Linked DNA regions of Yarrowia lipolytica. The protein of the gene in region 1 interacts with the protein of each later gene in a pairwise test. Links are inferred from orthologs where the notes say so. Each region holds a gene or a part of one and is shown on either strand. Other genes may lie near its edges. The genes, in order: YALI1_E38491g and YALI1_A05220g.

Region 1 (3,914 bases):
CCCGAAATCTTCTTCAACGTCACGGGAATAACAGGAGATGGGTATATTGAGGGTGATGCGGTGACAGGTGGGGTTGAACTATTGATGTCTGTCCCAGATACTCTAGCATCCAGTCTACAACTCTGAAAACACCTTTTGGACGGGTTGATGACCTTTTCCAAACACTGCTCTGAGATCGGAATCTGACTAATGGTAACTAACACAACCGGAAAGTATCATTTAGCAGGTCTATGATTGAACCGATGAAACTGGGAAATTATTGTTAATTTATTGCATTGAGTAGAGAAAGTACGGCAGAAGTGTTAAAAGTTGTATATACCATTCATTGGTTCTGTATAATGTTTCTAATGAGTAAAGTTGGTGTAATTACTTTGTAGTATACATGATACAACCCCTTGGTATGTATGTACAGTAAAACTGCAGAGCTTGGTCAAATAAGTACTGTTTTTACTACAATTCAGTCAGTGGTTTGGTGAGAGCTGCTCATCTTCCTCGCTCTTCTTCCTCATTTCATCTGTCATAATATTCACGCCCTATGTACATTACTGGGGAATGGCGTGGTATCGCTTGCCTCGGAAAGCAAACATTTGCTGGTTAAACTGGTAAACCTCCGTAGAATTGAGATCGTTGAGCTCCCACTTGGTCGAGCCAAAGATGTTCTCTGAGGGCTCCAGCAGCACGTCCAGCTTGGAGCCAAACTTGTCCATCAGCCAGTTCCAGTCTCGCTCAAGGTCATCCTTGTGGAAACCGGTGGAGAAGATGGCACACTTGGACTCCAGCAGACCGGGCAACGACTTGGCCCACTGATCCATGGCCTCGGGGGCTCCCAGACCGGGGTGGAACAGGAAGAATGCATCCAGGTAGGGGTCGTAAGGGAAGAAATCATGAGCCTCGTGGAGCACATGGAAGTAGTCCGAGTAGAACTTGAAGGTCATGGTGTCGTCGATCTTCATCTCCACGGGTCGCGAGTGCTGCACGTACTGGTGCTTGTCTCGGTCGTAGTAGGCCTCAGGACCAATGAAGTACAGCTCCCACTTGGCGGTAGGGATGAGATACGAGAGCTGTTTCCACACGTGGGGGGGCAGCTGGGACTCGGCTCGGGCGCCCAGAATGAACAATCGGATGGGTCGATCGTTCAGAGCACGGGACTTGTCGATGGGGAACAGAGAGTATCGCAGAGCAGCCAGGGATTTGAGACCCTCGAGGGTCAGAGGACCGTTAGGCTTGAGAGCGTAAGGGGACATTGTGTGCAGCACGGAGCCGATTGTGACGGGGTATGACAGCATCTTGGTCACGGCTGCCATCTGGAACTCGGTATCCATGGAGTAAAAGTCTCGGGTGTACAGAAACAGATCCCAGTTCATGAAGTTGACAGTGTCATCCTTGTCCTGAGCTCCGGGGAGATCAAACTCGGGGAAATCTCGACCGGATCGCAGATCATGCTCGTAGATGTTGGCCATGAAAAGCTTTTCGGCCTTGTTTTGCTCTTGGAACGTCGCATCCGACTCGTAGGCCTCTCTGCTGTGATGGGTGGGGATTCCGGACTTGGGACAGACGTATCGCACGTCCTCGCCGGTCACGGGACACTTGGAACGGGCGCGGATCACCGCGGCCCGCTCCCGAATATCCTGGTTGGGTGACTGGTCCCACAGATGGAACCGGTTCTCGGGGGTCGGATCATTTTCATTGCCGCTGTCGTCCAGACCAATTGTCTGTTTGAGAAACTTGAGCATGCCTCTCTGCTGCTGGACGGCGCCGGCGAGTGGGCGAGAAGCGCACACCAGCCCTGCTGCTCGCACAGACACTCGTGGACAGATTCGTGTCGAGAACATGTATGTATGTGGTTTGGTTGTAGGTGAGGAAGGGCCGAAAATATGACCAGATTTGACTCTGAGTTTATTTGAGGAGGGAGAAAATGAGAAGGCGAAAAAGGAGGTACCAATGGCGAAATATGGGCTGTTTGGGGTTGATGGAGGTGTAAAAACGGTAGTAGAAAAGATTCACTGCTTAAAAACACCGATTTTAACGCTATTGACAAAATCTTCACTCACTTGCTCTGATACTTGTGGCCCTTCCTGCGCCACTATTAGCCACAACTCTAAATTTTCAGACGCCACATTTGGAAAGGAGGAGAGCCGATTTGACATGGCAGTATGTACACTGCTACAGTACGAATCCTCTCCAGTCGACTCATACATCAATGTATGTCTCTGCTAGGCTAGATAGTCTGATTAGTCATACCGGCCCTGTATGCGTTTACTAATACCTCCTGGATCGTACCATGTTTTATACAAGGGTGGCTACGTAAAACGTGGTCCATCTTCTGGTGCTCAATGACGTACAGTCAATCTTAGGCCAACTTCCACTTCCACTTGATAGAAGGGTTTTGCATTGGACCGAGTGTCGGAGTGGGCAATAAGTCACATGACCTCTCAGCGGCCCGTCGTGAGTGCATTTGCACTTAGTAATACCCCTTCTTGTAGCTTGAGCGCATATATAGGACCATTTTCTTTTTTCCAGTGGAGCCAAATAGCTACGATACTTGAACCAGTACGAGCACGACTACATACTGTAGTGGTGGTGTTTATGTACATAATATGACGGTTTAGGACGTTGTGAGACACTTTAGAGAGCAATATATTACTAATACGTCTGTAAATAGCCCATTTTAAGATCTCACTGTTCCCGTTCAACAAAATCCACCACAGCAGCTGTCATCGGCGTTGATCCAGCTCTCACCTCTATTTGTTGATGTTACACGGCACAGTATACGCCGCTGCAATACTGTAGTTATGGTGGCGTTGAGCCGCCAGTTGATATTTTAGCTGTATTACTGTGTACTACTGAAAAAGAAGCATCCAGATAGTAGTATAAGTGAGTCGTCGTCGTATAGTCGTCCCCGTTCTCATATAACCAGCTAATATAGTACGAGTATCATACTACTATCATATTTTTCATCTGAATATATTGGTGACCCTAAACACAGTTTGCTCACTCCGCCCCAACAACCCTAACCCCAGTTCCAGGTACTTTATCGCGAACCCGGCTTCATCACGTGCCTAAAGTTGCCAACTGCCAGCACATGCCTTCGATCAACATTCTCTGTTCGTCTGCTCTGCCGTTTGTGCCTACCAAGTTCCAGATAGATGCTCATGAGCATGAGACGGTTCTGGTGGTCAAAAAACGGCTTTGCCAGAAACTGGTCGAGTTACAGAGACAGGGAAGTGTCGAAACGTCCACAGAGTCTTACAACCGAGAACAGGAGCATTTGGGCAACCCGGGCAATCTGAAGCTGATTTTCGGAGGAAAGATCTTGCCCGACGCCAATGAACTGCCCAATTTGGCGGCCACAAACCCCACGTTCCATCTTCATTTGCTGCCTGTTTCCCTCGACAAGGAGAAACTGAGCATTATTGAGAGGTTTCGAAGAGGAAGCACTAGTAAGGGCGATGCGAATGGAGGAGCAGAGAGTTCTGGATCGACACCAGCGGAGTCTCAGACCATGTACAACGTCCGACTACTTTCGAATCAAGCAAAGCCCACGATTCACTACAACGTCCAGCAACAGAGTCTGTACAACATGGACGGTGAGGCGTCTCTTGCTGACCTGAAGCATCTGCTCATCAACTCTCTGGGCAATGACACTGCTGTCAAGTCGCTGGATTTGGCTATTCAGCGCAAGTTTGTGGTCTTCAACTCCAAGGGCCAAGATTTCTCAGACGACACCATGAAGGTCAAGGATATCAACAACTTTGGGCGTCCTCCTCACTCGCAAGGCACGAACGTGGTGATATTTTACCGGTTTGTCCTCGGCGAATTCGAGGAGTACCAGATGGAGGGTGAGAACGAGGTGCTTGAGAAGCCTGCTGAGGCTCAATCAACCCCCGTCAAGTCCAACAACCCTTTCAACAAGG
Region 2 (3,537 bases), on another chromosome or scaffold:
TTAATCGATACAATCGGGGAAACAACGGAAATCAATTCTAGTCACATGATTATAGCTCACAAAATAATTTTTCAAAAGATTTGTGGTCCAAAAACTGCCACAAATGACGCTCCCAATCACCTCGCCCTTTTGCTCTCATGTAAGGGTCCAGCTTGCTTTTCAAAGTCTATTTTTGGTTTAGCACGAAGCAGTCATCCAAAACTAAGTTTGGATTTTAGTTGACTTTATGGAATTTTTAGTTGACCTGATACTTGAATATTTGTTTGGACGACCGCCCAAGATAAAACCATTCACATGAAATAGAGGTGATAGGATAGTACACATTTTGTGGTTAATTCCACTTGTTCGTTCAATATAACTCTCATCGACTACAATTGGCCACGTTAGTGGGTCCAGTTCCTACTCTAGCGAACACTACATGCCTACATGCTCTACAGTATGCACCATATCTTCAGGCAGCTACAAGTAGTAGAACTGATGGACATGGTATCTGGTCGCAGTTGTGCCGGTACGAGTAGAGTTCTTATATTGTCGTCTACTCGTACCTACAATCACAATGAGACAGCTCATTGGGTGCACTTCTGACCTGATTACGGTCAGTCAGTCCCGCAGTGCTCAGTCAGAATAATTTACTATTTACATATATACAAAAGACCTAGGCCTTGGAGTCGTCGCTGTACTTGCTCTGGAGCTTCTTGATCTCTTCGGGATCAAGAGGAGGAATAGGCACATCGCCAAAGTCGTCGGTACGCAGAGAGTACATGGTGTATCCGTAGATACCGGCGACAAAACCGGTGAGGCCGGCCAGAGCGAGCATGTTTCGCACAAAGAAGGGTCGTCGGGCCCGAATCAGAGCGGGGGACATCTGGAAGGTCTTGGGGTCAATGTACTTGCCCTTTCGGAAACTGTGTTAGAATGGAACGGTCGAGCATGGTCGAAGGTCAGGGGTCAGAGGTCAGAGGTCAGAGGTCAGAGGTCAGAGGTCAGGAGTAGGTCCTTCAAGATACCATCGAAAGTTTAGAGGGTGTAGTTGTGATAAAACCGACGTGCTGCTTGCTGTAGCAATTGATTGGCTGGTTGCGGCATGTGGCTAGCCACAGCAATGCAGAGTTCAAACGGGTCTGTCACAAGCAAGACAACGTGTAGATTTTCTGGAGAAGAGAAGGATGAAGGAGACACATTTCTCATTCACGGTGTTGTCCTGGTCACAAAATGTCCGTGTAGATACTGAACCCAGAGTTGCATTGAGAGATCAGTGGCTCTGATCGTCGCACGCAGCTGTAGTGTCTTGAAGAGAGTGAGATTGGTAGTTTGATTGCAAGTCGCTTTGGGGAATACCAACCAAACACGTCTCTTCAAATAGCCCATTTCAACCACAACTTCTCTTCACACTCCCGTCCACCATTAGCCACCCGAATCCAACCTCCACCGCCAACACTGCCTGAGTGTCGCAGCCACCTCCTGTCTCTGATTACGACACATATCATGGCGTGTCAATCTCTCGATTGTCGTGATACTCACACTTTGAGACCGGGCTGGGGTTGCTTGTGCACCTCAAAGGTGCCCTTTCCGTTATGGGGATCCTGAGACATGTTTCTGTGATGTGTGGGTGTGTGTGATATGAGCCCTTGGGTGGTGAGATTTTGACCTCATGAGATTTTGAGTTTGGAGACAAGGCGAACAGGTAGGGTAACTTCATTGCATACAGGATGCGCTCTCCTGGATATGTGGTGATGGGCCAAAAGATTTTGAAAAGATTCCTGAATCAGTGCGACAATGGCAAAAATTCAACTGCGACACAAGAAACGGTTCAGCGCGTTGGGAAACAAGCCCGTTAAGAAAGCGGCGTCTCCAGACAGAGCGGGCTCCGCCACGGACACCCCGACTGCTGTTCCTGAAAAGCTGACTGAGAAAGAGGAAGAGCTCAAGACTAGCACAGAGGAAACTGCGGTGGAAAAGACTCCGGCTCAGACAGAGTCCCCCGTGAATACCGCTGCATCTTACAAGCAGACAATGGTGCCCAACTCGGTCCGAAAACGGCTGAGAGCCGAAAAGCGAGCTGCCAAGGGCCAGTCGGTTGGGGCGGATGGAAAGACTGTGGTTGTAGAGACTGCGGTTGTAGATACTATTGCTGGTGATGCGGCTGCGGACTCAACGACAACTGAGACTCAAACTGCTCCGAAACGCCTCGGAAACCTGTTTAATTTGCGAGCCCAGCAGGAGAAGGAAGTAAGGGAAGACACCAAGGTCGAGATCATCAAGCCACAGGCTATTGGGGACAATGTTACACAAGTGGCTGAGCCACCGATTATTGTAGTTTCTGAAAAAACACATGCCCAAACGCTGGATGCAGCGCCTCGGCCCAAGAATCGAAGCAAAGATCGAGAATTTGAGAATCTGGCGAATGACAACATCCACGAGTTCTCAGTGGACGCTTTCACGGAGGAATCGGAAAGACTCAAGGCCGAAGGAAAGCTTGACGAGTACAAGCGACCTCTTACGGCCATTGGAGGAGGCAAGCACCAGATCACCAGTCTGTTGCGACAAGCCCAGGACAACAAGGAGCAGCTGGAGGCGTCATACTCTCAGAATCGCCTTACCCAAAAGGAGAGTGGAGCAAAGTATGGATTTTAGAGCGAAAAATCGTGACTGCACGACTATGTTTACTGTATTATATATTTATTGCATTTATTTAAAATCAGATTTATAAGTGTAGAAGATCTCTTCCGTCCTAATTGTAGATTGTCTGCTCTACAGTAACTCGTTCGCTCCGCATAAATGATTAGACCCATTACCACTGTACCTGTACATACAGTAGTCGTATCGCAATACCAATATCTCACCTTGACATCCTGTATAATCCAAAATATATTACTTTTCACTAATTCCATCCCATCTGCATCTATTTGAAGTCCTTGAAAGACCACTTCTCGGTCACCTTCTTCTTGTATCGGGGCTTGAGGTTGTGTCGCTTTCGAGCCTCGATCTTTCCTCGCTGCTGCAGCGATCGGAACCGGTCTCGCATCAACGATCCCTCGGGCTTGAGTCGTCGAAGAGAGTCTGTGAGCTCGCCTGAGAGCTTGACATCGAGAGTGGGCTCCAGAATTTCGTATTTGCCGTACCGACGGGTTCGCACCTTCTCGGCAGCCTCGCCTCCTGCAATGAGATCCTTGAGATCCTGCTTCTCCTGCTCGGACTTCTCGGACCGCTTGGCGAGCTGTTGCATCTTCTCATGAATCTTCTTCATCTCCATCTTCATTTGTTTTCGAATTCGTTCCTTTTCCTTGTGTTCTCGCATCTGTCGTCGCTTAGCCATGCTCTTTCGCTTCTCCTTGGCAGGCGCGTTGATAGACAGACCGACGCTACCGCCCTCGAGTTCCTCATCAGAGGCCTCCTCCTCTTCCTCCTCGGACGAGTAATCCATCTGCTTGTCCTCGTGGTCCTCCATGGTGTCCATGAGATGCTGGACACGGGCTTGGTCGGCCTCCAGCTGCAGTCGTTCCTCCTCCAATGCCTCTTCCTTGGCCAGCTCCTCCT

Evidence for each region.
Region 2: the proteins of YALI1_E38491g (region 1) and YALI1_A05220g interact in binary tests that used the Saccharomyces cerevisiae proteins (3 or more experiments, as listed by UniProt). The link is inferred for Yarrowia lipolytica from reciprocal best matches to the Saccharomyces cerevisiae genes MSS51 and COA3.

What each region holds. Positions count from the first base shown.
Region 1 is NC_090774.1:3,847,064-3,850,977, reverse strand, and holds YALI1_E38491g (uncharacterized protein), read right to left. Parts: upstream 1,833-3,914; coding exon 543-1,832; downstream 1-542. Other genes in the region: YALI1_E38479g (uncharacterized protein), read left to right, coding at 3,083-3,914. UniProt on the Saccharomyces cerevisiae protein: Has a dual role in the assembly of cytochrome oxidase subunit 1 (COX1). It has a regulative function on COX1 synthesis, acting as a translational activator specific for the COX1 mRNA, and it also binds to newly synthesized COX1 protein.
Region 2 is NC_090770.1:521,170-524,706, forward strand, and holds YALI1_A05220g (uncharacterized protein), read right to left. Parts: upstream 1,593-3,537; coding exon 1,522-1,592; intron 906-1,521; coding exon 656-905; downstream 1-655. Other genes in the region: YALI1_A05229g (uncharacterized protein), read left to right, coding at 1,777-2,634; YALI1_A05254g (uncharacterized protein), read right to left, coding at 2,903-3,537. UniProt on the Saccharomyces cerevisiae protein: Required for assembly of cytochrome c oxidase (complex IV). With COX14, negatively regulates COX1 translation and is involved in MSS51 association with newly synthesized COX1.